2 linked regions of the Tamandua tetradactyla genome follow. The main gene of each other region encodes a partner of the protein of the gene in region 2 in a complex. Links are inferred from orthologs where the notes say so. Each region holds a gene or a part of one and is shown on either strand. Other genes may lie near its edges. The genes, in order: VEGFB and FLT1.

Region 1 (14,762 bases), on a different chromosome or scaffold from region 2:
AAACCCACTGAGGTAAGTGGTTTCCCTAGAGGCTGGGCTGAGAGGAGCCCGGGCTTCCGTGGTTTGGGGGTCTGGTCACCCTAATGCGCTCTCCTCTGCCTAGGCCTTCATCTCTGGCCTGCTGGACAAGATCCGGGGCATGCAGAAGCTGAGCACACCCCAGAAGAAGTAAGGGTCCCGGACCCGGGTGAACGGTGGCGCCCACAGGACAATCGCTGCCCCCCGACCTCGTAGCAACAGCAATACCCGGGGGGCCCTGCGGCCAGGCCTGGTGCCATGAGCAGGGCTCCCTGTGCCCCTGGCCCAGGGGCCTCTTCCCCTGCCCCCTCAGTTTTCCATTTTTGGGGTTTTTTATTGTTATTAAACTGATGGGACTTTTTGTGTTTTTATATTGACTCTGCGGCGCGGGCCCTTTAATAAAGCTAGGATATACCTTTGGTGCAGCTCACAGGCTTGCCTGGTCTCTTTTCGGGGGGACACACCGTTCCCACTGCTGCCAGCTCAGCTTCTCCCCAGGTGGCCGCACGCTTTCCTGAGGGCCACGTAGCCATGGTGATAGCCCAGTGCTGGCTCCCAGACCAGGAGGTGAAATGGCTGGGGAGCGGTGCCAATGCTGTCTGCAGGCAAGAAACCTGCCTCTCCCTCTGGGCAAGGGCTACCATGCCACCCAGGGCTGGCCATCCTGACTCCCGTGCCATTTACCCTAGACCCCTAGGTTCTGCTGCCTGGAAGAGAGAAGGGGGGAGTAGCTGAGGGAAAGGAGAAGCTGAGGCTGTGGTCTCGAGTCAGGGCCCACAAAGAAACACAGGCTCACTCCTTGGGCTTTAAGGTTTTTGTTTTGTTTTGAAACAGTCTGGTCCCTGATGGGGGGCCTCCCCCAGCTGCCCCTCCCCAGATGGGCTACAGTTCTGAACGTCGCTCTATCTTGAGCAGCTCCACCTCGAACACCAGAGTTGCACCGCCTGTAGGGGAGAAGTGGGGTCAGAAACAAGGCTACAGGGAGAAGGGATGGCAGCATGGGGGAGGGGGCGGGGGGGTGGACATAGGAAGGTATGTTACCTGGAATCTTTGGGGGAGCGCCCCGCTCTCCATATCCTGTTGAAGATACACAAAGAAACAAAGTGAGCTGTGGCCAGGCCCTCTTCCAGCTCGACAAGATGGTCAGAAAAGAAGGTGTGATGGAGAAAGCAAGAAGAGAGGGCAGAAAGTGGACACCAGAACTGAGTGTCTAAAGGATACTGCCCTATTCTCACTGCTGGACCCAGGCCAGTCTGGGCAGAGGCAAGTGCTGGAATGAAAGGATGGGGTGGAGACCAGCACAGAGGCTGAACCAGCCTTCCCCCTTCCTCCTACCCCCTTCCCCAGACATACCCCCAGATCGTCCCCATTCCTCCCTGGGGAAGTCTCTCACCTAGCTCTGATGGGATCACCAGCTTCCGCTTTTCCCCCTCACACATCCTGCGGGAAGACACATGTTCAACACATGGCAGGCCCCAGGCGCCCTACCCCCACCCTTGGGGCCCTCCTCCCATGGCTCATCTGGACCACAGCCGTGGACCCGACTCACCCCAGCAGCCCCTGGTCCCAGCCCTTGATGACCTGGCCGGTGCCAAGAGAGAAGACAAAGGGCTGGTTCTGTGGCAGGCTGCTGTCAAATTCCGTCCCATCCTCCAGCTTCCCCTGTGGGATGGTGGGAGGGCCAGTGAGGGGGAGGGGACCGCTCTGAGTCCCCTCTCCCCCCAGCTGCCCCCCCATCAAGCTGGCCCCCACAGCACTGGTGGCCACAGTCCCTGAAGGACGCAAAGCCTTGGGCAGCTCACAGCGCGCTGTGGTCACTTGCTGGTGCCAACCTGGGGAGTAGACAGTCCAGGGCAGGATTTAATCAAGAAAACTGGCTTCCAGGGGAGAGGGAGCTTGCCCAAGGTTCTCCACGTGGTTAGTGGAAGAACCTGGCTCCCAAGTCCTTTCTGGTTCCCAGAAGCCCCACCCACCCCACAAAGCTCCGCCTCCCACACCCACCGTGTAGTGCATGTGCAGGACGTCACCCTTTCGCGATTTGATGGGACAGTGGTCCACCCGCTTCTTGACCCCGATCTGCAGCTTGCGCTTGCCCTCGGCACCCGCGACCGTGGCCAGGGCACTCAGGCAGACGGACAGTACTGCCAGGACCCAGTTCAGCCTCATGTCTCTGCAGGCACAGATCCCGCCGGACCGGGAAGAGGGCAGAGAAGGCATGGAACACAGGCAGGTGCCTGGAGGATTCTACCCCGCTCCCGCTGTATCATGCCTGCCCCTGCTGATTCCCTTGTCCCGGGTCACCGCCCCTCCCCCGGACTCCGCGGCCACACTTACCAGTCCAGGGAGAAGGGGGCTTGGCCGAGGACCCCAGCAGCGGGGGGAGGGGGTCAGGGGAGGCCACAGCTGCCAGGGCCCCGCCCCTTTGCTCTCCCCCAGACCTTCCCTCCCTCCCATTCCCCGGTCCCACTCTTCAGTTTCCACCCGTCCCTTTGCGTAAAGTCCAAACTCTCTCCGGCTGCACAGCGGACGCCCCGACGGGGCGGTCCCACTCACGCCACACCCAGCTGCCCCCGACCCAGCACACCCACACCTCTGCGGCTGCTGCAGGAGGCCGACCCCGAGGCACCCACACATCGCCGCTGGGAGGCTCCGGAGAGCCCCGGTCCTCCGGAGGGGCTCCCCAGCCGGGCTGTTTGTCTCCTCCCGGGGCGCCGCCCCAACTCTGGGCCCTCGGGGGTCTCCGGGGCACCCACACTGGCCCCGTGTCCGGTGGCCGTCGAGCCCGCTCCACCCACACCACCTCTCCTGGGGGAGTTCTTGGTCTATCACGTCCCCAGGCCCGGCCTCCACGCAGCCCACCCGCGCATGGACGCCCCGAGCCATTACCCGGGGCTAGGCCCTCGGTGGGCTCCTTAGCCCCACCTTTCACCGACAGTGGCTCCGCCCCCTGCCCTGGAGCCCCGCCTTCGGCAGAACTAGACCCCTTTTCCTGAACCGTAGCCACGCCTCTCACTGCCTGAGGCCCCACCCCCAGAACCTGGCCTCCGTCCCCCTCCGCCTCCAAACCCCAGGCTCCGCCTTCCACTGGTTCCAGCTCCTCCTCCAAGCGCCAGACCCCGCCCCCCACCGGCCCTGGCTCCGCCACCCGTCGCGTAGCTCCGCCTCCCCCTGGCACCGGCTCCGAGGTCCCACCCGTTTCGGCTCCCCCGGCCGCCCCAAGTCCCGGGGCTCCACCCCTAGAAGCGTGCGGTCCCGCCCCCTGCGGCATCCCCAGGCAGCTCCGACCCCAAACCCCAATTTCCTCTTAACTTATCCGTCGTTAACACTCGGAGCCCCGGCCCGCTCCTGCCCGGCCTGGCCAAGCTGCCCTCCTGCACCCCGGCTTCCCCCAGCCTGGGCTGTGGCCCCCGCTCACCTCCTTGCCGCGCCCCCGGACTCAACCCCAGTTGTGCGGCTGCCTTTGCGCAGGCGCGTTGTCGCCGCTACCAGACCGGGCCACGCCGCCCTCCCTCATTGGACCGTGCGAAACCCGCGGCCCCAAGCCCGCTGGGGCGGCTTCCTCCCTGGCTCCGCCTCCCCCGCCACCGCGTGACCCCTGCGTCACTTCCGGTGGGCGGCAGTGAGTAAGGTTAGATGAAAGTGACTTCCGAAAGGCCCGAGGGCACTTCCGGCAGAGGTGAAGTTGAGGTCACGCTGTCTTGGGTTCCCCGCGGGGGTCTTGAGACGCCATTTTCTGTCGCCCCCAGCCTCTCCCCGGTCGCCCTGTTTGCCCATGAGCTGCTTCATAATGTACAGTCCTTAATTGCTGTAGAAACAGCCGGGTCTTCAGAGTTAGGCTGGGGTTTGAATTCGGATTCTACCACTCACTGATTGGCTGTGTGACCTTGAGCAAGGTCCTTGGGCTGCTAGAATGAAGCTCCCCTGGGAACACGGGCCTTGTAACATAGGACTTCTGTAGGATTGGTGTGGAGCACTGGGCCCAGGCCCCAGCCTACAACGAACGTTCTTTACCTTTCTCTCCCTCAGTGCTCGGGCTGACTTATACTTGCTGCTAACTGACCACCGAGTCATCACTGAGTCTGCCTGGGCCTGTTTCCCCCATCAGACTGTCGTTTTCAAGTACCCCAGCACCTACCAGTGCCCAGTGAACATGTGTCAATTGGAGTAAAGAACCACAGCGGGAGGCAGTCAATCCTAAATGGTATGTCAGGGAGCACTTTGGGGTCAAAGCGCCAGGTCCGTTAGCTTTGCTGAGTTCGGTTACTCAAATATAAAAAGAAAATGCCAGGACCAACCTCACTGAGAATTAAAGTGCATTGGCTGTCTGGCAGGCTAAGTGGGTTGAGGAGATGGTAGCTCTAGGGCCCCTAACCCTCATGTGATTCACTCTGGCAGGTGGCATGATGAGTAACATCAGGGCTGAGAAAATGATTTGAAAATAGTAATCAATGTCTCCTGAAACTGTCTTCTTCCTTTTAATTCCCCTCCCGCTTCCAGCCCACCGAAATCATTACCACCCCCTCCAATGTCACACCCCAGAAAAGCTTCTGTTGGGGTAGCAGCTTTGGGGTAACCTCTGCCCCTGAAGTCATAGTGAATGTCCCCTCTGCAGAGAGAACACAACTTCTGCCTCTTGAAGGCAATGTGATGCATATTCATGCCGAATCAGCCAGCCTGGACAGTGACAAACGACACAGGCAGGGACAGCTCCTTCCATCTTTTTTTTTTTTTTTCTTTTATCGGAGTTGGGGGATCACAGCCCTTGTACCAAAACCCAAATCTCATTACTTGCAGAGGATTGGTGTCTTCTTAGCGGGGCAGGGAGGAGCTAGGTGTAAGATGCTTACTTGCACAGGATGGTTAAAATAGAAGGAATCTTATTTTCCTCCAAATTGGTACATGATTCCTCTGGATGCCCTCATGTCTCCTCATTCAACTGTGCCCACCATGTTGGATGTCAGTCTTGGGGGTACAAGGGATGGCAGGAGAGGCCTCTGAGAGACCCAGGTCCTGGAGCAGCTTGCACCCCAGCTGAGGTCTTGGGGGCTAGGCTGTCCTCACCAGGCTCCCCTCTTGTCCCCCTCTCGGGTATGGCCTGTGAGGGAAGTATCCCTGCTGAGTCTGAAAAGCAATGTGTCACCTTCGCAGCTTCCGGCACCTAAGGAGGGAAGAAGGGAGTCTGTTCACTGTAGCTGCACCCAAGCTCCTCTGGTTTACCCTCTTACTACCTTCTGTGAACCCCATTCTCTCCTAAGAATCCTAATAAGCCCCACCTGACTTGAAAACACCCTGTCCTGTGGCCTTGGTGTGGAGTAGAGGGGTGAGAAACGCCTCGGGTAGGGGTGGTAAACTGGATTCCACACATCCCCTGGACTCTCAGAGCCCATAAAGTGGGATCAGTGTCTGTCTTAAAGGCTTCTGGGAAGGTTCACAGCTTTGCAAATTAGGACACTGTCTCCCTCATTCTACATCTACAGTCAGATGGCACCTCCTCCAGGGTACCTTCTCTGACCTCTTGCAGGAGTGGTCAGACGTCCCCCATGCAGCGTGCGCCATCTGCGGCCGGCATCATTTGCCCTCGGATCCCCCTCCCGCACCAGAATGCGATCCCTCTTACACTGTCCTAGTGCCAGCAGGCGCCTGGTAAATATTTGTTCAACACATTCAACAACTTCCCATTCCCCTGGCTGCTTTCCCACTGGCAGGTTTGCCCTGAACTTGCTCCAGGGCAAAGCCTTGATGCCTCCCCAACACCCATTCGCAAACCCCTCACCTGCACGTGTCTGGGTTGAGCTCTAAGCCCCGCCCTTGGCAACGGAGGAAGCTGCGGCGTCGGCAGCGGCAGCGGCAGGTCCGGGGGTCAGGGCGCTGGCGGCGCTGGGAGCAGCGTGGGCAGAGGGGCCTGAGGCTGGAGTGGGATGGGTGATGTCAACTGGGGAGGGTGCTCCGGGGACGGAGTCCCAGCCCGGAACAGAGCGGGGCTGGGGGCGGTGGTGGGGAGTGGAAGCCCTAGGAGGAGAAGCAACATGTCCAGGGTGGGAAGGCAGCGTCTTCCCGGGAGCTGGGGTTGGGTCAGACCACAGTGGATTCGGGGAACAGAGGGAAGAAGGGAAAAGGGAGATGGATGGGAGGAGAAAAAGGGGAGGGGACCACAGGTTCCTGAAACATTCATATACCCCTGCCCTGCCCCCATGGGACATCCTGGGGGCTGGGGCTGAGCTCCAACCCCACCTTAGTGGGAGCCAAGACGCTTACCTGTCTGGCTTCGCAGCATTCTCTTTTTTTTTTGGTCTGAAAATTTAAGAGAGACGGACACACAGAAAGAGAGGGAGGATCAGGAAATCCAAGCATCCCACTCTCTTCTCCCAGATCCCAGGCCTACCCCTGGCTCTACTCCCAGAAACCTGGTTTCCACCCCCAGGTGCCATCACACCCAGCACCCCAAGCCTGGTCTTTGTGAGTGCAGAAGCTGGGCCTGGCTGGCACCTGCATTCACACTGATTGTGCTCTTCCAGCGACATCTCCCCCAGCTGACTGCTCGGGTACCGGATCATGAGGATCTGTGCTCAGGAGGACAGGAAGACAAGATGGTGAGACAAAGAGGACCTTGGCTGCCAACACACCAACCTTCTAGGCCCCCAGTCTTAACCCCAGAGTGCTGGCATTCCCCCCCCTCCTGCACCGAGGGTGCATTCCCGGGGCCCCAGTACCTGCATTCGGACTTGGTGCTGCCCAGTGGGCACACACTCCAGGCCGTCGTCAGGGCAGCAGCCACCACAGCGGTGCACGGTCACACAGCTGGGCACCAGCTGCTTGGCCACTGTGCCCATGAGCTCCACGGTCAAGGGCACAACCACCTCCCGCGGCTGGCAGGTGGCGCGGGCATACACGTCTATCCATGACACCACTGGGGGCAGACCGGGCGGGAGGGGTTAAGTTTCCACTGGGTTTCCTGCAGCTGCTCCCTGGTTCCCCTACTCTCCCCTCCCAGCAGCTGTTCTCCCTAGTCCCATGTCACCACCATCCTCTCCCTGTCTTCTGTCCTCCCTGCCCTGCTGATGCAGACCCCAGGAATCCCACTGCCTTGCCTCAATTCCCCCTTCTGTGAAATGGGCAGAGTAACAGTTTGCATCTCATAAGTGAGTTGTGATTACACAGTATGATGGGATAATGAAACCCGGAGCCCGGGCAGGTGGCAGACCCTCAGTGTTGGCAGTTACTATTACTGCCATCACTGTTACCTTTCTTCTGGTGGCTGGGGATCTCAGGCTGGCCATCAGGAGCCTGTGGGAGAGGAGAGACCAGAGGTGAGAGGGGAATACCTCCCTGAACCTGGAGCACCCTCTAGGACAGGCTGTCCAGGGTGCTGTTCCAGGGCTGCCCTTGTGCTCAGGAGGCTTCACCTCTCTGATGTCTTCCCAGATTGATCTGTTCCTGGGGCCACTGCTCTAGCCTTACCTGTCCTCTACCGGCCACCTGGGACCTGTCCTGGCCCATGACCCGCCTGGGGAGCTCTGCAGGCAAGCCTCGAGGAATCTCCAAGCCTCGAGGCTGGGCTTGTTCTGGAGGCCGCAGGTTGGGAGGGGGCACCGTGGGCGCCAAACCGGGTCCTGCGGGCACAGAGGTGGCCCCGCCTCCGGCTGCGCCCTAGGGACGGGGTGGGACTGGGTGGGGCTGGGTGGGGCGAGGGAGTGGCCCCATGGCTGGGCGGACGGGTAGGCGGGGAGGGGCCCCTCCGGGAGATGCCCGGACCGAGCCCCCGCGATGCCCGGCTCCTTGGCTGGGCCCCGCGGGTCCCCTCGGCCGAGGGCGCGCCGCGCCTCCCCACTTCCGCCAACCTTGAGAGAGGGCACGGCGCGAGGGCGGGATGGCGGGGACGGTCGTACCTGGGCGGGAGCCAGCTGCAGGAGCGCGGCGAGCAGCAGGCGTCGGAGCAGGGGGCTCATGGTGCCCGCGGGGGCCGCGCGCCGAGGGCGCCCGCATCGTCCTAGCCCGGCGGCGCCGGGGGCGGTGGCAGCCAAAGCCCCATGGCGCGGGTCCGGGCGCGGCGGGCGGGGGCCGGGCGCGGGGGGCGGCTCCTCCGCGGCCCCCTCCCGAGCCCTGGGTGCAGGCAGCGCAGCGCAGCGCAGCGGCGGCGGCCGGAGGAGCCGGGCGGGCGGGCGGCCGGCGGCGGCGGGAGGCAGCGGGAACGGCGGGGGCAGCGGGGGGCCGGGCCCGGGCTGGCGGGCGGGCGGCTCATGTGACCCAGACACGCGTTCCCCACCGGGCCGCGGGGCGGGGGCGGGGCGGGGGCTGCGGGGAAGTGGGGGGGGGAGGCCGCTGGCGGGGACCGCCCCCTCCATACACCCCCCCACCTCCCGCCGCGGCCGGGGAAAGGGGACGCACCGCCCAGGGGGCCGGACTCCCGTCCCGGGTTGCGGCCTCCAGAACCCGGAGGGCGGAGCGCTGCTCCCATGGTGAGGCCCTGGGTGGGGGGCACCGGGCCTGAAGGAGGGAGTCAGACGGGCGCTCTAAAAATCACTTTATTGCACGCGTTTGGGGGTGGGGGTGGGCTCCGGGAGTGGAGCCAGAGGAGGACACACGACAGGCGCCATCCGGGCGAGCCCCTCAGGGGCTGGCGCCTGGGGACACGATCCCGGGGTCTTGAGGAGGCCGGGGAGGCGGCGTTGGCGACTGCTGCCGCCTCTGCTGTCGCTCCTGCTGGAGCTTTGCTCTTTTGGCTCTGGCGGAGAGAGCAGTTGGGTGGTTGGGGAAGCCATCCCGCAGGACCGTGCCAGGACAGTAAGGTGGGGGCAGGAAAGAACAGGGACAGACCTGGCCTGGGCCCGCGAGTCATTGTAGATGGCTGTGATGACCCGGTCCTTTTCATCCATGAAGTTTCGGTGCATCTGCTCCAGCTTCCTGCAAGGGGACTGTTATTAACCCTGGGCTCCCCATCCCTGGTGCCCCCCAAGTCCTGCCCTCCCTGCTTCCCCAGGACTTCAAAGTTTTACACCTATGGGTACTGCAGCCTAACTTTGCCTGTGATAGGTGGAGAGAGGGGCAGAGTGGGCCAGGGTTTGTCGAGGGTCGAGCGGCAACCACATCCCTAGCTGTGACATTGAAGGTGCTGACAGTGACACTGGACATCAGGGTGCTGCATTAGAAGACTGGAAAGGGTTGTGCATCTAACCCCATCTCTGAACTGGGCAGGCTGCTAGCAGCGGGCACTGGGCCTTATATATCTTTGCTTTAGAAAATCACTGCCTGGCACGCCTGGAAGGGAGAGTGGTAGGGAGACTCCCGGGTGAGTGAGGACAGTTGCTGGCAAGACCATATTTAAAAGGCATTTGCTTGTTGTTGATGATTTCTTTGGCTCCAGTGCTTCCTGGCAGCTGGCGCCAAAGGTTTACGTTCAAATAAAGAAAAACTAGAAGTGACAGCATTAGCTATGAGCACCCATGCCTCTGCCAAGTGCTGCAAAGGCTGGACTGCATGCAATTTTCAGCTTGAAGAATACAAAGGTGGGAGCCACAGGGGCTCCCCATGCTAGCTTCTCTCTCCCTCCTGCCCTCTGCCCATCCTCCCAGGGAGAGCAGGGACACACCTGAAGGCGGCGTAGTGCAGGCCCATGCCTGCCAGCATCAGCAGGAGGCAGTACCCCAGCACCCGCTGGTTGTGTTTGTGCTGCTGCTGTCTCGACTCAGGCCCCTGCGGCCTCACGCCATGGAACTGGGCCCAGTAGTGTGCGTTGGGAGGCTCCCAGGAGCTGCTGGGAGGGAGCAAGAAGAATAATGTGGGGATGAGGTCTCCCTGGGGGGGGGAGGGGGGCAAGCTGGGGGCGGGACTGCTGTACCTGTGTGTGTGGCTGGCTGGCCTAGGGTGGGCTGTGGTTCCTGGAGACTTCGGGGGGCTTGCCCAACGGAGCTGGTGGTCGTAGCTGTGGCGGCTTTGCTCGCGACTGAGGACCCGGTATGCTTCATTGAGCTCCACAAAGCGGCTGTGCAGGGCCGGGTTCCTGGGGTCTCGGTCAGGGTGCAGCTGGGGTAGGGCAGGGCTACCCTCATTTCCCTTGCCATGCTCACAATGTCCACCCACAAGGGCTCAAATCACTCCCAGAGGCCCTGGCTGGTCGGTGACCTTTTTATTCAGGTCCGCCTACCCTTCTGGAAGGCCAGAGGGTCAGGAAGCTCAGACGCCTGCCCCCTGCCCTTGTTCAAGCCCTCCCTGCCTGCTAGGTCTCCTCCAATACCCTCTCTCACTGTGTGCTCTGCTCTAGGCCTTCTCAATCAAGAGCAGACAAGCAGGTCAAGAGAACCTAGCCCAACCCAGGCAGGACCCCCGGCTCCTGCCCAAGCCTTTCCTCCTGCCTGGCCCAGGACTCTCTATTCTTAAGGCACCTCCCACTCCGTATCTTGCAGGTTGAGGGAATGTGGCACCAGCTCAGCTCTATCTCAGTCTCACTGCTGGGAACTCCAATCCACTACATCTGGCTCAGATTCCCCTGGCCCCACATAGAGCGACTGGTACCTCTTTGGACTTGGTGAAGAAAGCTCGTTTCACTTCTTCAGCGCTGGCTCCAGGATGTACCCCCAGCAGCTCATAGTAGTTAGTGGGGCCAGACCTGTGGAGAGAGGCCCTAACCTGCAGGAGCTGAGGGAACCCAGGGGATATTCCTCTCCCCATTCTACCCCACCTCTTTGGGCCACACTCTTCGACTCAGTAGCCAGGAGCTGTAGGGGCTGAGGAAGGCACCCAGGCAGAGCTATCCCCAAAACACGCCTCCTTTTTAAGATGTCAGGCATGGTGCAGATCAACACTTCTCAGTCTGTGGTTCTCTGACCCCTTGCATCAGAAACATCTGAAAAGCTTGTTAAAGGAACTGATTCCTGAGCTCCACCTCGTTCCTCCAGACCAGAATATCCAGGTCAGGCCTTAGGTGCCTGCATTTTTGCAGCTCTCCCCCTTCCCCAGGTGGGTTATGCAGTGACGTTTGACAACCACTAGTGTTGGGGAAAGCGTACTGGGTTTGAACGACACCGGGGCTCGAATTCCAGGTCTGCCACTGAACTTGCTGGATGTCTTTGGGGTCATCCCTTAATCACAGAAGGTGAGGGTTACCTGAGACCAAGCCCGTAAGGCACCTGGCTCAGGGGAGAGAGACCACAACTAACTCAGCACAGAAGGCAGGGACTAGAGCTCAGCAGGTCCTCCACGAACACCCAGCGAACGACCGGGCCCGGGCCCCCGACGCCCGACTCACCGCTGCCCGGCAGCCTCTCCGAGGAGCCGGGAGGGAGGGCCGCGGGGCCACAGCCGGCACAGGTGCAGGGGCCGCAGGGGCGGCATGGCGGCGGGCGGGCAGCTGGGGGAATGGAGACCGCAAAGAGGTGTGCATTGGGACCGGAATGGGGCGAGACAGCAGGCACCCCGGGGGCAGAGGGAAGAGATCTTGCGAAAGAAGGCTGAGGGCCTCCTTGCTCCGGGGCCCTTCCCCTCGCTGGTCCTTTGGTGTCCCGACCACCAGCTCCGGACGCCGCTGAGACCCACCCACCCCTGCTACTCGCCCAGGGAGTTTGGGGGTGGGGGCGGGCAAGGGAGGAGTCGCAGCTAAGCCCCGCCCCTGCCCCACTCACGGACTCCACGGCCACCGCCATTTCCTGCGCTTATTCGGAGGCCCCGCCCCTACGCCCTCATTGGTTTAGACGCCAGGGCCACGCCCACCGGCCGGAAGGAGTAGGTGTGCGGGGAAGGCCCCGTCCCTGCACGCCCATTGGCCCTTGATGCCTCGGCCCCGCCTGCGAGGCCGCGGCCCCCGGACGTGCTGACAGGCGCGGGCCGGCCTGGTGGGAAGCGGGCGGGGCCCAGCCTGGGTCCAGCCGACGCGGCTCCGCGGTGACCCAGCAGTGGGGCCCGGGGCCTGAAGAAGCGGACACAGCCCTCGGCCTCAGCTTGCAGCGGGGCTGGGTTTGTTTGTGTGTTGTTGTTTTTTTCCCCCAAGTCATTTGCCCTGTCTCGCTCAGTCACTCCCAGTGGGCGCCTGTATCTCGTGGAAGTTGCAGACACCAACAGAATCCAAGAATAAAGTCCTTTATTGTCTTCAGAGCCGTGGTGACTGGGCTGGGGATCGTGGGGCGACTGAGGCAGGTCCTCCCTGGACCCGGTTGTAGAGGAGGACCGCGCCTTTGGCTGAGGGGCAGAGTTCGGCCCAGCCCTGGGTCTCCTGCAGCCTCCACAGGCTCTGTGGGGGAGAAAGTGGTGAAGGCCACTGGGCAGGCAGGGAGACCCAGACATCCAGCCCTCACCTCTGCCTGAGCTGCAGAGCTCTCGGGAATGCACCCTCCAGAGGAAGACATGTCAGGGGCTGGAGCAGGTGAGCTCGCCCTCACCCTTGGCCAAAGGCATTCCCAAGTGGAAGCCTTGAGGCTTCGGAGGAAAGCTCCGTGAGATCTGGGGGACTCAGTCTAGCCCAGGCAAAACGCAGCCGACCCGCACCTCTGTCTCCACAAAGATGATGTCTGTGGACTCGTGGGCCTCGGGTCCCCCATTCAAGTAGTGCTTTCTCACCTGCTCGGAAGTCAGACTGCACCTGGGAAAGGACATATGGGTGTCTCAGCCCTGCCCCACAGCCACCTACCCCAGGACCCAGCATCCTGTCCCCCAGAGCCCACTCACTGTATGAAGAACTCGGCACTGGCCCGGCCGGCACTGGTCTCGTTGCAAGCAATGCCCAACAGCAGGGGCCGGCTCAGGGTGGGCAGCGGCAGGTTTACCTGGGGCCAGGGGTCCCACTTGTCAGTTTCCACCCCAACCCCCCACCCCCAGAAAGAAGACAGCCCCTTACCTTTGTGCAGCATTTTACAGTTTATAGATCAAGTGCCCAGTATGGTATTATTCATTTTACAGACGGGAAAATCAAGATCAGAAAGACTGAACAATTTGCGTGGGGTCACCCAAGGAAAGTGGATTTAGTAACTAGGACTCCCATTTACTCTTCTTTCACAAACCTAAGGTCCCAGTCCAAGTGTGCTCAGCAGCAGAGCCAAGTTCTTCCTTTGATGCCAGCCAAATGCCTGCAGACCCACCCCCCGGCCCGGATCTGTGGAATTCTGACATGTTCTACCCTCTCCCTTCATGCCCACCTCCCTGCCTGGGCTGCCTCTCACTCACCTCATCACAGATCTCCTGCAGGACACTGGAGAAGAGCTCCTGTACCACCAGCTCCCCGGGGAGGTTGTCATGCCTGGGTCTGTCACCAGCGCACAGGGCCTGTGAGAGGTCAGGCTCAGACCCTGCTCCCCACCTTTTACCAGCCTGTCCTGCCAGTATTCACTGGCCCTGAGGGCCTGGGGTGACATGGTGTAAGTCTTGGTGATTCCCCTGCCCCGGGCCCTCTTTTCCAGATGGACAACCAGAGGCTTAGGTACAAAGGGGACTCACAGGGCCAGGGGTGTGTGAAGTAGGGTATCTGCTTCCTCTACCCCCACAATCCCCCATTCTCCAGCTTCTCACAGGGCTGAGGCAGGGGTCAGTGGGGAGGCTGAGGGGCTGCCCTGAGCAGAAGTATACCAGGCCAGCCCAGCATGTACCTCTTTCCAAACAGCCAGGACAGGCTTTACTGCCACATTAAGGAATGCAGAAACCAAAGCTGGGAGGGCTTGGAGCTCCAGATCTCTGGAGCTGTCCAGGTCTTTGTGCCCAGCTGAGTGCTCACCTGAGGCTCAGGATGCCCCCCAGGCACGTCCACCAACCCAGGAGCCTCCGCCACCTGCCGAGAGCGGCGCAGGAAGACGAGGAAGCCATCTGCAGTGGCCAATGCAGCACCCACCCCTAGCGGGTCCGCCAGGTAGGCTTGCCTGTCACCCCAATCGGCAGCCCCCTGCTGTCGCAGCCAAGCAGCCGAATTGGCCCAGTTCGTGCCCAGGAATTCTCGGTAGGAAGTGAGGCCCAGGCACAGGAGGAGCTGTGGGCCTGGAGAATCAATGGGTGCCAGGGTGGCAGAGTGCAGACGGAATTTGGGGGCGTCGAAGAGCCAGGGCTGGGCCTGGAGCCGGGCCTCCCAGATGGCAGCGATGTCCTTGTCCCCTCCTGGCAGTGGGTGACGGTCAAAGGCTGGGCTCAGCTCTGCCCGCACCTGCTCCTCAGGAAGCCCACCCTGGGGGCACTGCAGCAGCAGGGACACCTCGGGGTCCATGGTCTGAGCAGGGCGGCTCTGGGGGAGGACACAGCCGGTCCTGTTACCTCCAGGGTCTCCTGGCCACCCCTGGGCCCGGCAGCAGGCCCCCTCTGCCCCAGTCTTCCTGAGGGAATCCCCAGCCCCTTGACCACTGCTTGGGCAGTAAGGTGTCCTGCCATCCTCGCCAGGTCCCAGCTGGATACCTGGGCAGGCTTCCCTGGAACTCTGGGGCACCCCTACAACCCTGGGGTCCTGGGTCCAGTCACCCCCAAATACCCAGGTCCCCCAAACCCAGGGGTCCTGCCTCCAAGCCCTGACGCGCTGACAGCCCTCCCGGGTCCGGAAGCGTCGGCCTTCTCCCGGCGCTCACGCGCAGGCGCAGGCGCGGCCCACAGTCCCCGCCCCCTTCCGGAACGGAAGTGCCCGCCCCCTACTTCTGCGGCCTCTCATTGGCCCGACCTGGAGCTCCAGGCCCCTGCTGGGGGCGGCCGCCTGACCCCCTGCAGACCGTGCGCCTGTAGGTCTTGATTCCGTCTCGCTGATGTTTGTGCGTCTGTCTGTCCTAGGCCGGCCTTGACGCCTCCGCCCT
Region 2 (14,993 bases):
TGACTTTCTCAACTATCCTAGAAGAACTTCTGGGGCAATCATTATGTCTCCCATGTTACCATTTTCAACGGGACTGGCTCAGTATTGTGTCTGGGGCATGCACTTAAACATATTCACTGAATGAAAGGATGCGTGTACTGGATCATATACTGTGACATGAGCCCTCTCTTTCTGATTGCTCCACTGCTGGACTAAGCTGGAGGAAGTTTCAAGTGAGGCAAGAATGACAACGTGTGTGTGTGTGTGTGTGTGTGTGTGTGTATGTGAAGAGGGTTCCTTTGTGGGGAGGAGAGGAAGGGGGACTGAGTGTGTGTGTATCCAAAGGGCAAAAAAAACTACCAGTGTCAAATTAAAATGATTTTTGGATGACTTATAATGGCGAAATTGGGTGATATTCTTCAGCTATTAAATATGATAATTACAAAAGCTATTTAGAAACATGGAAAAATAAAAGGGTCCTATATGAGAAAGAATAGAATGAAATTCACTGAGGTGAGCATAGGGGTCATGCCGAAATGATGAGATTATGGGTCCGTCTTTAGTCCTTCCCCATTTCCATCTTTCTAAAATGTTATATTTTGTAATCAAAACAGTGCATTAAAAGTAATAAAATATGAAATTGATGGTAATTAATATTTTACAATTTCAACTTATGTGTGAGACTAAAGCAAAAAATGTTTATTTGGTACAAAATTTATATTTTGACTAGTGCATTTCCTAATATAACTTATGTAAATAGCTTGGTTGAACAACATAAGTACATGGAACCTTGGGTAAGACATGAGATTTTGTTGGTTTGTCCAGAGTGATGCCCCAATGAATCCCAGAGTGATTTGATCAGTAAGAGGAAAAGTATTTGCAAAGTCCCCTTTGGGGAATGGTGAGAACGGGAAAAATTCAACCTCCCCAACTTGAATTCTTGATATTCTCACAAGCAGTGTGGACAACCAAAGCTATAGGCTGAGCCCCCAATCTTGGGGTTTGTTTATATGAAATTTAACCCCACAAAGGATAGGTCAAGCCTACTTAAAATTAGGCCTAAGAGTCACCCCCAAGAGAACCTCTTTTGTTGCTCAGATGTGGCCTCTCTCTCCAGCCAACACAACAAGCAAACTCACCACCCTCCCCTTCTCTGCGTGGGACATGACTCCCAGGGGTGTGGACCTTCCTGGCAACATGGGACAGAAATCCGAGAATGAACTCGGACTCAGCATCAAGGGATTGAGAAAAACCCTAGAATGAGCTGAGACTCAGCATCAAGGGATTGAGAGAACCTTCTCGACCAAAAGGGGGAAGATTGAAATGAAACAAAGTGTCAATGGCTGAGAGATTCCAAACAGAGTTGAGAGGTTATCCTGGAGGTTATTCTTATGCATTAAGTAGATATCACCTTGTTATCTAAGAGGAAATGGAGAGGCTGGAGGGAACTGCCTGAAAATGTAGAGCTGTGTTCCAGTAGCCATGTTTCTTAATGATGATTGTGTAATGGTGTAGCTTTCACAGTGTGACTGTGTGATTGTGAAAACCTTGTGTCTTATGCTCCTTTTATCTACCTTGTCAACAGATGAGTAGAACATATGGAATAAAAATAAATAATAAGGGGTGGGCCATGGTGGCTCAGCAGGTAAGAATGCTTGCCTGCCATGACAGAGGACCCGGGTTTGATTCCCGGTGCCTGCCCATGTAAAAAAAATTAAATAAAATAAATAAATAAATAAATAATAAGGGGAACAAATCTTAAAATAAATTTAGTTTGAAATGCTAGTGATCAATGAAAGGGAGGAGTAAGGGGTATGGTGTGTATGGTTTTTTTTCTGTTTTCGTTTTATTTTTCTGTTGTCTTTTTGTTTCTTTTTCTGAATTGATGCAAATGTTCTAAGAAATTATCATAATGATGAATCTTCAGCTATGTGATGATATTGTGAATTACTGATTATATATGTAGAATGGAATGATCACATATTGGGAATGTTTGTGTTTCTTTCCTGTAATTTTTTTCTTAAAATTAATTTAAAAATTAAAAAAAAAGTAATATAATATGAAAAGAGAATAAGGGAAAATGTCAATGGCTGGCAGTTAAGTGCTAGGATAAAATGATCAAATTAGCTAATGAAAAAAGATTAGATGGTCATTATACAGATTTCCTTGGCCTACTATTTTCCTTTTAGGTATTACTATCTTTTATTTTTTGTCTTTTTTCTTCCCTAGGATTCTGTAATTATCTGTCTGGACCATTTTTTTTTTTAAACTTTCCTAGAATACCTTGGGTAAGGTTTATCTGCCTTATTCCTCTTACTAGAATCTTCAGTTATCCTAAATAATGTCATGGTAAATGCTAACAAGTTCATGTGCAGCACCATTTGGTGAGTATATATTAGAGATAATGAATAAAGGAGTGATCTGAGTCCTTCCATGGTTTATTCAGCCTCTGCAGATTTCTTTATTCATAAAAGGCTAAATAACTTTTTCAGGGCATTTTTAAAATCATATTTATGGATAATTTGAAGCAGGAGTTATAGAAAATGCACTGCTTGGAAGAATTAGAAACCAAAAAGATGTCAACAGGCTGGAAAAATGGACCAAACCAAAAAAAGAAGTTTAGTAGAAGTGATTCTAAGGGTCTGCCATTTGAGTCCTCAACAGCTATGGCTGTACAAGGACAGGCAGACAAGAGCCTTTGTGAAAAAGCCTGAGGGATTTGAATCAACAGCAAGCTCCCTAAGAGGCTCCAGTATGAAGTGGTCAACAGAAAATGCTCCTTTGATCTCAGGTTGCCATAGCAGACGTGTAGTGTCTGTGTCACAGTCCCTGGGGACTAAATGTAGGAGCAGGGCCAGCCAGGACTCCAGGACTGGGATCCACAGCCTCAAAACGCAGCCAGAAACCAGATAAATCAAAATGAGATCTTAGAGGCACAGCAGCAGTAAGCAGCCTCTACAAAGGAGCAGGGAGTCAGGAACGGGTTGAAGCCTGTGGAACCCTAGAGGAGAGAGGGAGTTCCTGGCCCCATGCCTGCACCCATCTAACAGGTGGGTGCACTGTGGGCACTGGCCCCATCTTTTACACCTCTAGGAGGAGGTTTCCCCCTCAACCTTAGTGCTCTACCAGCTGAGCTACTTTCCCTTCCTCTTTCACCTCTACTCTTCCAAATCTCTAGGAGGAGGAAAATCATAGTTCCGAGGCATTTTCAATCCTGAGTCTCTCACTTGGAGTGACACTGATGAACTGGAACTGCTGAGAGGAGCTGGAGGGGATTTAAAGAACAAGTCATCTGGGAAAGGACAAAAGGAGCCAGGACGTTGAGCCTAGAGAGGCGAGGATGTCCAAGGCACAGGAGGTGGGTGTTTGAATGCTGGATACATTTCCATTTAAAGATACTGGAGCATAGCTGGCTGGCTATTTGAAAAGGATGTGATAAAGGAAATCCATGAATTAGCTCAGTAAATGGGTTAAATGTCTTTTTCCCCCCTTTCTTTTACATGGGCAGGCTCCAGGAATGGAACCTGGGTCTCCAGCAGCAGGTGAGAATTCTGCCACTGAGCCCCAGGTGCACCACCCTTACATTTCTTTTAAGACCAGTACCGTGTGTTTATGTTCTTTGGAAATGGAGAATTTTCAGCCACCACGGCAGGTTGCCATGAGTGAGATTTTTGCATCAGTGGACTTATACATGTCTCACAACCAAAACCATAGATGTGCCCACCTGGTGAACTCAGTGATCTTTCTACAAAAGGTTTGGGATTGTGCTTCGTAGATCAAGGAAACTGAAACTATGAAATGGGCAGTATTGTGAGTTATTTTTCATATAACACGGAACCGTCTTGTAAGGTCATTTGAATCTTGAGATATACCTTCTATGTTTATAGTATGGACAATGCAGCCATGGAGTCTATTTTATTATTTTGTATAAGGCTAACTAGCCCACGTGGGGATGGAACTGTGATTGAGCCTCATTTGCCTGCTTGGTCTATGATGGGAAGATGAGACCCTGGCTTACCTCCTGTCACACTGATGCCCCAGGTTTGAAAACTAAAGCTGTTGGTTGTACCAGTTGGGTTCTGAATGGGGACTGGGAAGAATCCTCCAGAGAATGTTTGTAGCTGATAACGAGAGAGTCTGGTTTTGCCAACCAGGCAGGAGATGAAATGGTCTTTTGTACGGGAGCAGGAAGCTGGTAGATACTCCACTTCAATAGCTTTTTATACCCACCAGGCGCGTTGAATTTGATCTTTGTCATCACCATTATCTATAAAACCCCTTTCATTTGTGGCTTAGCAGGAGAGGGCTGTAGCCCATTCTCACTCAATGGTGTTCTCTGTTCCGAGGAGAGGTTGACAGCTATGCTTTCCTTCCTTACACCTCAGGTAAATGAAATCACTAACAAAACCCTGTGACAACTTGTAGCATTTTGAGTTTTTTGTTAGGAGGCTCACAAAAGAGGAAGTAGTAAAACTCTTCAAAATGCTAAATATAATCAGAAGCCAGCAAATTTCCAAAGGGATAATTGGGGTATTTGAGGGGACCACCCTTACTGCGGAATGGTCTTTGTGTAAATCTGTTAGCATACACCATGACTGTTTTTCGTTTGGTTGGTTTGTTTTGCTTTTTTGAAGGTCTTTTATGTGAAGTTTGTCTTTTAATTTTTTAATTTTTTTTAAACATAACAACATACAAACACCAACATTCTTACCATATGATTATTCCATTCTTGGTATATAATCAATAACTCACAATATCATCACATAGTTGTATATTCATCACTATGATCATTTCTTAGAACATTTGCATCAATTCAGAAAAAGAAAGAAAAAGAAGAAAGAAAAAGGTCCATACATACTGTACCCCTTACCACCATAACTGTTTTAAACTTAAGGTAAAGTATTATTGTCGATTAGCATCTTAGATCTGCTTACCCAATTATAAAGTTTGTCAAATTCATTCCTGGCAGCAGGTTTGGGAAGAGTTGTTTCTCGGTGTGTTTTAAAAACAAAGTTATCCCCCCTCCCCCCAAAAAACCAGTATTTAAAAGTTTGCATTAATAGGCGGGCCACAGTGGCTCAGCAGGCAGCGTTCTCGCTTGCCACGCGGGGTTCGTTTCCGGTGCCTGTCCATGCAAAAAAAATTCTAAAGTTTGCATTAAATTTTTGTAGATTGCACTACGGAAATAGGGATTCCAGGTCCCCTTTCCCCACAGACAGCTCAAGCCTCTCCTTGCGTTCCTGGGCAATTCTCTGTGCCTTGTCTTTTCTGCTCCGTTGTGTAGTCAGCACTCCCTTCCACCCCCCAGCATTGTAATTCTCACTCTGCCTCTCCGTCAAATTCGAAGCCCTTTCCAAGGCGGAGACGACGTCTTTTCTTCGGAATATTTGAGGCCCGACCTCGACGCCTGGACCCTGTGAGGTGCTGGAGAAGGGGGATGCGGACAGCCGCACCTTGGACAGGCGGTGGAAGCGACAAGCAGCTCTGAAAAGAGGTAGGACTGGCTGGGTGGGGAGGCGGAGCTGTGCCCGGGGCTGGGGGGGGGGATGAACGCGGGCAATCCTGCGGCTTTGTAGGAGACAGGTTTAGAGGTGGCAAAGAGAAGGAGCCAGGGAGAACCCGGAGGGCAATAGTGTGGCGAGGCGCTGGAAACAAGCTGGAGAGAGATGGCAAGAAGCTGGCAGACGAGCCCCGTCGGTGCGCAGGGGCTGCCTTTCCTCCGCGCCGCGCGCAGGCCGGGGGCGCCGGGCCTCCAGGTGCGCATACGTGCGTTGGCTTCCTGCGGGGGCCGCGGGGTGCTGCGGCCTCGCCGCGGGCCGTGCTGCCCACAGATGTGGCAACTGGGCATTGCCCAACCTTCCCCAGGCAGGGCGGTGGTCCAGCCGCTCGGGAAGAGTCGCTGGCCCGGTGCAGAAGCCAGTACAGTCCTTTTATCGTGACCTGGCAGGTTCCAAAAAGAATTACGTTTTTAAACCAGCGCTACTTAACAGAGACAAGACTAGGGTGCCCGGCGGAGCCGGAACGGTTTTAGCCGTGGAGGTAAACAGAGACTTCGTGGAGCGACAATGTGGAATTAATGTCATCGCGAGTGATCTAGTGCCCCCAGTGAACTGAACTGGTTTGTTCCCGTCGTGCGCAGACAGCCGCCACCCAGCAAGGAGATTTAGGGACTAAAGTTCAAGCGCTCAGCCCTTATAAGTTGCAGGAGCAGTTTCACGCCTCCGCCTTTTTAAAGGTATTATCACGTTATTCCTTGTTTTGCTTTTAGGAAGCAGAGAGTTGAGGAAATGACTTGGAAGGGGGGAAAAAAGACGGAGACGCGCTCCCCGGGGACCCAAGTGTGTTCGCCCTGGGCTCTAAGGTGCCAGGCAGGCATCAGCCCCCCACTTCGGGGCGCTTCCAGCCAAATGCTCTGCGCCCAGGGTCTCCGGCTTCTTTTTACGCGGCTCCGGACCGTCTGGCAGGGCTGGGGGCGGCGGGGCGGCGCGGAACAAGCAGGGAAGGAGAGGGCGCCCGACTTGGCCTCACTCCTCGGTGCCAAGGACACCGTCGCGGAGGCGCGGCCCACTTCCCTTGGCTTGGAGGAGGGGCGACCGCTCGGACTTTCCGCCCCGGAGTCGGGCGTGAAACTCCGGCCCTCTCCCCTCCCCAGCCCCGGCCGCCCCCCGAGCTGAGTAAGCTGGGGCGGAGGAGCCTACGAGGATTTCCTGACCGCGATGGACTGGAGGCGGGTGGGGGCGGGAGGCGGGAGGAAGGACCCTGAACCTGCTGGGACCGCGCTCCCGAGCCCCGCGCGCGCCCCCGGCCCTCCCGCCCCTCCCTCCAGCCGTCGGGCAGCGGGTCGCGGGAGGAAGAGGAGGGCAGGTGGGGAGGCGGATGAGGGGTGGGGGACCCCTTGACGTCACTGGAAGGAGGTGCCCGGGCTAGGAAGTGGGCTGGGGAAAGGTTATAAATCGCCCCCGCCCTCGGCGCTTCTTAATTGAGGTCCGCGGGAGTTCGGGCAGCGCGCCGAGCGGACACTCCTCGCGGCTCCTCCCCGGCGGCGGCGGCGGCGGCGGCGGCTCGGAGCGGGCTCCGGGGCTCGGGCGCAGCGGCCAGCGGGCGCCAGGCTGCAAGGATTACCGGTGCATGGTGCTCGTCCCCTTCGCTGGAGCGGCGCAGAGGGAAGTCTCGGGCTCAGGGCCGGAGCGCGGGGCCGGAGGCGGAGCGCAGGAGCGCGGGCTCGGGCTGCTGGGTGGTTGACCCGCGGAGAGCGCGGGCACCGGGCGAGCAGGCCGCGTCGCGCTCACCATGGTCAGCTGCTGGGACACCGGGGTCCTGCTGTGCGCGCTGCTCGGCGGTCTGCTTCTCACAGGTGAGCCGCGGGCGCGCGCCAGGGCCGGGCGGGGCCGGGATGGGGCGGCTGGGAGCCAGACCCCGTGGGTCGGGCCAGGTGGACCTGGTGTCCTCACGCAGGGCCGGCGGGAGGGGAGGCTGCCCCCGGGAGAGCCTCCCGGGGCACTTGGGGAGCACACCGTGGGGCCCCGCCTGCGCCGCGGTGCCCTTCTCCTCCGCCGGCGGTTGGGTGCCCGGAGCCGGCGCCTGGGGAACGGCTGCCGGAGGACCTCCGCATCCTCTCCGACCCTCTCGGCCCGGCGGCCAGATTTACTGCTCGCGCTGCGGGCTCGCGGGTCGGATCTGCCCGCGGAGGCTCCGGGCGCCAGGGGTCGTCGCGCACCGGAACCTGCCGGCGCTCGCAGCTGCCCCGGGAAGACCTGGTGCGGGTCCGCGGAGTGTGCGGGGCCGGGCGTTGGCGACAGTCACCGGCCGCGACCTAGATCCCCGAGAGTGGGAAAGAGCAGAGCAGACTCGGAGGGAACCGCGTGCCTGCGGGGACCAGACGGATCCCGGGAGAGGGCAAGTGCTGTCACCCTCGCCCCACTTGGGTCCCGGAGCCGGGCTGTCGTGGGAACAGGGGCCGCCTCCCCACCGCGGGCCGGAGCGCGCTGCGCGCAGTCAGCCGGCGGAGCCCCTGCTCCGGGCGGGCGGTGACCGGTCCAGACCAGGTCGCCGATGTGAGTGACCCGGACGGACGAGGGCAGCCGAGGACCCCAAAACCGCTAAGTTTCTGAATTGCGAGCCTCGCCTTTAAATTCTGAGCAAAGAAAGCACGATTCGGGCCAAAAGATGCCGTGGGGTCCGCTCCGCCTCCTAAGTCTACCTTTGCCAGGCGTTAGGGCAAACAGCGGCGGCGCCGTCAGGGGCCAGGAGCTTCCAGGGGCAGTTGGTCTGGAGCTGGCCCTGGCCATGGAGGCAAAGCCCGGGAGGATTTAGGGGCTCGGACTCGTCGTCTCTGCCCAGGCGCGCGGGGGGCCGCGCCCTCTAGTCGGGTCCTGGGCGCAGAGAATCGGATCTCGGAGCGCCTTCTTTTAAGCATCGTGGAGAAAAGGTAAAATGTGAAATAAAAGATAATAACATAAAACAAAAAGTCATTGCGACGTTTCTCGGCCTGAAGTCAGTAGGGTTGAAATGTTTAAAAATAATAATAATAATAACAATGCTTGTTAAGCCCAGACGGCAGTAGCATTTAAATATTCCTTCTCAGTGGGAAGACAATTAGACCGTCAGTTTCTAAATAGCAAGAAATAATTCCAATTAAGTTGGTGAAACCGGGAGGCAGGGTTTCTGAGAAGTGGCTACAGGTTGGGAAAGTTGCTAAAATAACTACATCAAATAAAAAGTACATCTTTCTGCATTTTGAAAAGTCACTTATGTGGAAATGTATGGCATAGAGCGTTTAAATAACTTGCCCAAGAAGCTGCTCTATCATGCAAAGGAAATCTAGGCAAATTACTGTGAATCCAAAAAATGTCGGGGGAAATGATATGTTCTTATAAATACAGGCAGCTTTATTTCTGCTTCCAAAATGTGGTTGACCCTCTAGTTCTGTTTGCGACCAGAGCAATTACGATCGGTGGGAGCGCTACAGAAGCTCGCGTGGAACTCTCTCGTGATTTCTTCTCAGATTTTATTTTATGGGACAGAAATCTTGGAACTCTTTTGTGAGTTCTAAAAATTTATATATGTGTTACGGGAAGAAGGAGGGACAAACATGGGCGAAGCGAGAACCCCTTTACCTGACTGTCTCCGGAATTTCCGTCTGCGGTGGGGATTGGAAATGGCAAAGCGCGCCTTTGGAACCCGCAGGTTTCCCCCCGCTGGTTAACGAACAGCTCAAGACTAAACCGCGTTAAGACATTCAAACTGAAACGCAGACTGCCACTTTTCGACCCTTTGGGTTTACTAGGAATTGGTTTCCACCTATTGCTAAGTCCTTCGGGTGCTGTAGCCTTTGAATATTTATCAGTTATTAATAATATGTGAGCGCGCATGTGCGCTGGGTCACCAAGATGTGAAATAACCGGTGTGTCAATGACGCAAAAAGATTATGAACTTCCCCCAAAGAGTACATTTCTCTTCTTCCATATATCCTGGGAAATAAAAAGATGCCCATAATTAGGGTCCTTTCAAGTGCTCTGCATTGCCGTCTCTTCCTCCATAAAATGTATCAGTCCTCCTTTCCTCCGGTTCCAAGTAGGCCCCCCCCCCTTTTTTTTTACTTCTAAGCATCAGGCCCATGATTAATTAAAGCCACGGATCCTTTTTTTTTCTGCCCTCAGTTTTCTTGAGCTCTTGAGCAGCTGACGTTTACAATTTTCTATAACCACTGGAAATGCTTAAATTGTAAATCTGTGAGGGAAGTCCAATTAATCATAAGTTTATACCAAAAATAAGAAAATAGTACACATTTCCAATAAAATATCAATAAGCGTCTCATTAAGAAACCTAATATTGCGAAACTATTTTTGTCATTTTTTCCAAGGTTTGTGAAGCCACACTTTTTTTTGGTGTGTTTGTAAATTGCATATTTAAAATAATTATTTAGCACCTTCAGGAGACCGCATAGTTTTCCCACTGGTGGAACCTGTTTCAGATGCCTTGCAGGTAGCCACCTGACTACTCCCTCAATAGCTGTTAAAATAGGGACTTAGGACTTGTTTTTTTTCTTTCTTTCTCTGCTATCAGTTTTATGCTAGTCTATCCAGTTTCTTTTCTAGTGATCACCACGTGGGTTTTTCGTTTTCTTATGTAAAAAAGCAGAAGGCATATAGATGGTTGACTTCTAAGGCACTTTTCCAAATCTTGCATTCAATGAATGAATCCAAGAAATAGCATGACACACTGTCTGTCTCTAGCTTTTTTCTGGCCCCCTTATCTACATTTGTATACAGTATGGATGATAAGCCACATGATGCAAGAGCAGGGCTAGAAGAATAAACCGGGGTTTCCCCAGCTATCACTGATCACATTACTTTTTTTTTTTTTGCACTGAGAGAAGGTACCTGACTAACCAATTAACTTGGTCTTTTGTGAGCTGTGTTTTGCAAAGAGCTAAGCTTTGGGGGCTGCCCTATGAAGTAGACACTACTTCTTAACTCTAGATGATTTGACTTTTCCGAGGATGCAGTCATTTTAAACCCTTATGCATTTCTTGTTTTTTTTTAAATAACATTTACTTATTTGATCAAAACTAACTATATTCTAAGAGTTCCTGAACCCATTTTATGTGACTTCTTAGAAGCAAACCAAAAATCACTTTGTTTTTCCTTTCCAAAATCAAGACATTTCTAAATCTACTCCGAAAGGATATAACACAGCAGTTGAAAATATGTTATGAAAAATGGGTTTATATTGACCAAAAAAATTTAGCACCGAGGTTACTCCTGAGGTTTACCTTGGCTTGCATCATTCAGCATTGGAATAGATCTGTTTTTAATGGCAAGAAGAGAACAAACGGGCGGGCCATGGTGGCTCAGCAGGTAAGAGTGCTTGCCTGCCATGCCCAAGGACCTGGGTTCGATTCCCGGTGCCTGCCCATGTAAAAAAAAAAAAAAAGAAGAGGACAAACAACAGTAAGTAGCTTCTGTAATGCTTTAAATTGAGGTGTGTGTGAGAAGGGATATGGGAATGGAAAGAAAGTGAGGGAAGCTTATCTTGGCGCTTGGGGTTTTAAATGTAAAGCTTGCTGATATAAGAGAGTCCATTTATATCATGTTCCTAGTTCCATTGCTTGGTTTAAAGTATGTTCACTATCAAGTCAGGATAATTCATCAGTGTATTTGTCATTGTGGGTACAGGAGGAAGGTCATTTGAAATGACACCAGCTTCATTCTTTTTTTTTTTTAAGTAAAAATATATAACTGAGTGGTTAAAAGCATAAAAACAGCTGTTGGGTTTGGCTTAAGCAATTTAACAGAGTAGAACAATCCATTCTGCTCCATTGACCTTAGTACATTAGAGAAGCCAATAAAGGAATGACAAGATCTCTTGCCAGATGCTTTCCAGGATCGTTGCTGATTCCTCACACACTTGGATGGCTTGGAAATTGCAGGCTGTTGGTTAAATTGCTGGATTTTATATAAGATCTAGGAAGCAAAAGGAAATGGAAGTGTAGGTCACAGGCCCAGACTTCACCGCCAAGCTGGGAATGGGGAAGATGGTCGAGGCCAGCCCAGAGACCTCGCAGGATCTCGCCTTGGGAGTGCAGACACTCTAGCAATGATGCAAGATAAACTTCAAATTCTGTGGGATGAAATCAGTGGGAGAACTGATGATATGACGATCTGGAGAAAAACATTGCAGACCTCATGACACTGGGTGAAAGAACTGAAAGGTTGCTAATTCACAGAGAAATCTGGAACACCTTTTTCACAAGCCAAGAGAAGACCTAATGGCTTTTTGCAACTACTGTGTGTACACAGATTTTATATTATAAAGTGTGCCTTCTTATATACTGTATTGTTCGTTTTCAGAGTGATTTTTTCCCCCTTTTTCTTGAACATGGTAATTCACATCTTGGACCCTGGTCAGTCATGTTACTAAATACAAAACTAAACACTAAAACTCTGGCAGTTCGTACATAATATTGTCAAATATTTTAGTGTATTTTGTGAAGTTGCTTTTTTCTGGCATTCTTTTTATAGTGGTTGCTGTTTAAAAAAAAAAGGGGTATAATTTAGACATGGTAAATCCTTTGATTATGAGTAGATTTTGTGAAGTTTGATCTTTGAGGAGCTTAGGGTTTAAAATTTTCAGCACAAAGTGGCTATTGAACTAACACCGAATAGTAGGTTGGCAGTATTTTTCAACTGGCCAAAAAGGTTTAAAAATTGTTTATTCAGAAATATTTGGCACTAACTTCTTACCAAAACTCAGAATCAAACTGCAGATCTATTTCTGTTTTAAGTCCCTGAAATAGATGCTAAAGTCGATGAGAAGTAACTTCTGCTACTTTAGTGTGTTAGGATTTTTTAATACAAAAAAACAACAGAATAGCCTAGTGGAATTGAATGTTAGAGTTTTGCATGGGATTCTAATACTGTAGAACCCTACAATGCTCATCTGTGCTGGTTACCATAAAAATTCTGGCAGGATTCTAAAATTCACTTACTCTGTCTTTTCCTTGGAAAAAGAAATGGACAAAGAGACAATAAGCCCGCGTCAGTCGCTGGGCTGAAAATGACACACGATTTTGTTGTAGTAGGATGAGGTCTTAAGAATTACTATTTTATCTAACAATTTCTTAGCTAAATTTTTTCAGAGTAGCCATTTTATTATTGCTCATAGAAGCCAGGGGGTAAAAATTCTTATCACTCAAAAATGTGGCGTCAGGCATGCTAAACCTAGAGGCCAGTATTATTGGCCTCAGAGGAGACTCATGTGATTGTCACAGCAGAATGACTTTATATAACAAACATTTGAAAAATTTTAGAAGTTGAGGGATAGTATAGTTCTTGACAGAGAAAATCCTGAATGAACAGAGTATGATTTTTTTGTTTCCTATGTTGCCAGTCTTGACTGATTTTATTACAAATATATAAAACTACTAAGAAATAGTGTATCCTATTTATAAGTCATATGGGAACAGAAGAGTAAAATTGTCCAGTAATAAAATGGATTAGTGACTGTTATGCCCCAGGTGCAGAAACAACTTTGAGTGGGCCTGTGGGTGGTGCTAGGAGGTCCTTACACCCTTGCCAGGCAAGGCCGGGTGAAACTGAGGCAGGAGGTGCTCAAGCCTAGTAAATGGCAAATGAGATGATCTTGCCTGTTACTGTAGTAAAGAGAATCTGGCTTTAGATGGGAGTTGGGTTCTGTAAGTAATGGGGGAGAAAGATTTCCAAGGCAGTCTCTCCACCAAAAATGTCTGCCATGAATAAAGGTGACTGAAATCCCCACCCCACCCCCCCAAAAAAAGGAAATGGGAGAATGGGATAATTGAGGGGGGACTTGAGAGGAAAGCCTTTGGCTCAGCCAGTGGCACTGCAGGGGGGGGTGCCCTGAGGAAATGGTTCCACTGAGTCTGCCGAAGATAGTGCACTAGATTTCCTGCATTGCAGCCAGGCGGATGTGGAAAGATGTCAAAATTCCTGGGGATTTCCCATCAGTCTTGGTAAACCTGGGTGCTTAAAAGCCATTTCTGATGTCTGGTCCTTTCTCTGATTCTTGAGAAAGAATCAGAGAGACTTGATCTTGTCTTTTGACACATACGTTGGGAGAGCCAGATAGAACCTCATAGACCCAGCAGACTTTCAGAGTTGAAAAAAACAGCCTAGAGAAGTTTTGTGACTTTTTTTCAAGGTCAACAACAGCTGGCTGGGGCAGACTCACAAAGAGAACCTAATGTTCATACTATAGATAACGTTGCTTCTTAAGCTATTTCCTCTACCCCCAACAGAGTGGAGATACTTAAACATTTGTTAAATAGCATGAGTACAGTGCTAAAATTTCTTGCAAATCCAGTATCTTTTTTTTATTAATAGGCTTTTTTTTTTAGCGCACTTATAGGTTTATAGAAAAATTGAGCAGAAAGTACAGAGTTCCATATATCCACCTGCCCTGCCAGTTTTCCGTTATTAACATCTGGCATTATTGTGGCACGTTTGTTACCAATGTTGTTGATGAACTGATATTGATGCATTGTTACTAACTAAAGTCCCTAGTTTCCATTAGGGTTCACTCTTTGTGTTGTACAGTTCTGTGGGTTTTGACAAATGCATTGTGCCGTGTAGCCACCATCACAACATCATACAGAAAAGTTTCACTGCCCGAAATAGCCCCCATACTTCACCCATTCATCCCCACCCCCACCCCTGGCAACCACTGATCTCTATGGTTCTGACATCTTTTTTGTATGTGCAATTACCTTCTATTTGCTTAAATACCATAAGGAGTTTAAATTAAGAACCTCAGAATTCTGACTGTTTTGTAATACACCAAGAGATTTGGTTAGAAGCTTAGTTTTCCTTCCCTTCTTTTGCACCGCTGTGGCTTAAACAGTACTGTCTTCGGTACTAGTTTCGTCTTTCACCACTTCCCCCCTCACACCCTGTGTGACAGTGACACAAGCTCCTCCAGTCAAACAAATCACTCACACTGCTTTGAATGGGTCACGTACCCATCACCGCGTCATGCCTCTGTCTGCCTGGAACACTCTTTGACTCCTCTTGCATCTCCTTCTCCTCTGCCTTCAGAATCCAGCCCCGAAATCACCACCTCTGTGAGCGCTTCCTTGTAGGTCCCAGACAGAACTGGTGGTCTCTTCTGCTCACCTCCAACCCTCGTAGGGCTCCCCTGGTGCTCCTCGCCTTGTGACATGCTGTTTTGTATATCTGCATCCTCCCTCTTTGGGGAGATGTCTCAGTTCTCCCCCCAGCCCCTGCCTGCTGCAGAGGGTCTTGGGACAAGGGGGCATGAATGGCTGAGTGAGTGAATGTATGCATGGCCACACTGTCATTTCAAAGAAGAAACCTCTCTGGGCCAATATGAATTGATTCCAGTAGATCAATGACCTCTTTCCTATCCCCTTGGTCTCAGTTTATAGTGGATCCCTTAGAAGGTAGCTCTCAATAGAGGGTGTTTGTCCTCTGCAGGGAGGGCTGAGATGTAGGAAGGCAGCTCGACTCTTCAGCTCT

Evidence for each region.
Region 1: the proteins of FLT1 (region 2) and VEGFB are in contact, whole or in part, in a crystal structure (PDB 2XAC), measured with the Homo sapiens proteins. The link is inferred for Tamandua tetradactyla from reciprocal best matches to the Homo sapiens genes FLT1 and VEGFB. Residues at the interface, in NP_002010.2 of Homo sapiens: Tyr139, Glu141, Pro143, Phe172, Pro173, Tyr199, Ile202, Gly203, Leu204, Asn219, Leu221, Arg224, Thr226; in NP_003368.1 of Homo sapiens: Ser37, Trp38, Ile39, Tyr42, Thr43, Thr46, Cys47, Gln48, Pro83, Asp84, Asp85, Gly86, Leu87, Cys124, Arg125, Pro126.

What each region holds. Positions count from the first base shown.
Region 1 is NC_135335.1:10,403,263-10,418,024, forward strand, and holds VEGFB (vascular endothelial growth factor B), read right to left. Parts: upstream 7,965-14,762; coding exon 7,905-7,964; intron 7,640-7,904; exon of another isoform or gene 7,303-7,639; coding exon 7,260-7,302; exon of another isoform or gene 6,926-7,259; coding exon 6,729-6,925; exon of another isoform or gene 6,579-6,728; coding exon 6,505-6,578; intron 6,310-6,504; coding exon 6,274-6,309; intron 6,028-6,273; coding exon 5,814-6,027; coding exon of another isoform or gene 5,792-5,813; intron 5,662-5,791; exon of another isoform or gene 5,540-5,661; intron 5,177-5,539; coding exon of another isoform or gene 5,155-5,176; 3' UTR 4,721-5,154; downstream 1-4,720. Other genes in the region: peptidyl-prolyl cis-trans isomerase FKBP2, read right to left, coding at 901-962, 1,060-1,095, 1,412-1,458, 1,568-1,680, 2,020-2,184; uncharacterized protein LOC143646665, read right to left, coding at 2,489-3,286; DNAJC4 (dnaJ homolog subfamily C member 4), read right to left, coding at 8,626-8,740, 8,833-8,919, 9,605-9,769, 9,854-10,038, 10,528-10,621, 11,261-11,346; uridine diphosphate glucose pyrophosphatase NUDT22, read right to left, coding at 12,098-12,238, 12,493-12,586, 12,673-12,770, 13,168-13,266, 13,712-14,191. UniProt on the Homo sapiens protein: Growth factor for endothelial cells. VEGF-B167 binds heparin and neuropilin-1 whereas the binding to neuropilin-1 of VEGF-B186 is regulated by proteolysis.
Region 2 is NC_135330.1:193,738,987-193,753,979, reverse strand, and holds the start of FLT1 (vascular endothelial growth factor receptor 1), read left to right. Parts: upstream 1-7,204; 5' UTR 7,205-7,269; coding exon 7,270-7,333; intron 7,334-14,993. UniProt on the Homo sapiens protein: Tyrosine-protein kinase that acts as a cell-surface receptor for VEGFA, VEGFB and PGF, and plays an essential role in the development of embryonic vasculature, the regulation of angiogenesis, cell survival, cell migration, macrophage function, chemotaxis, and cancer cell invasion.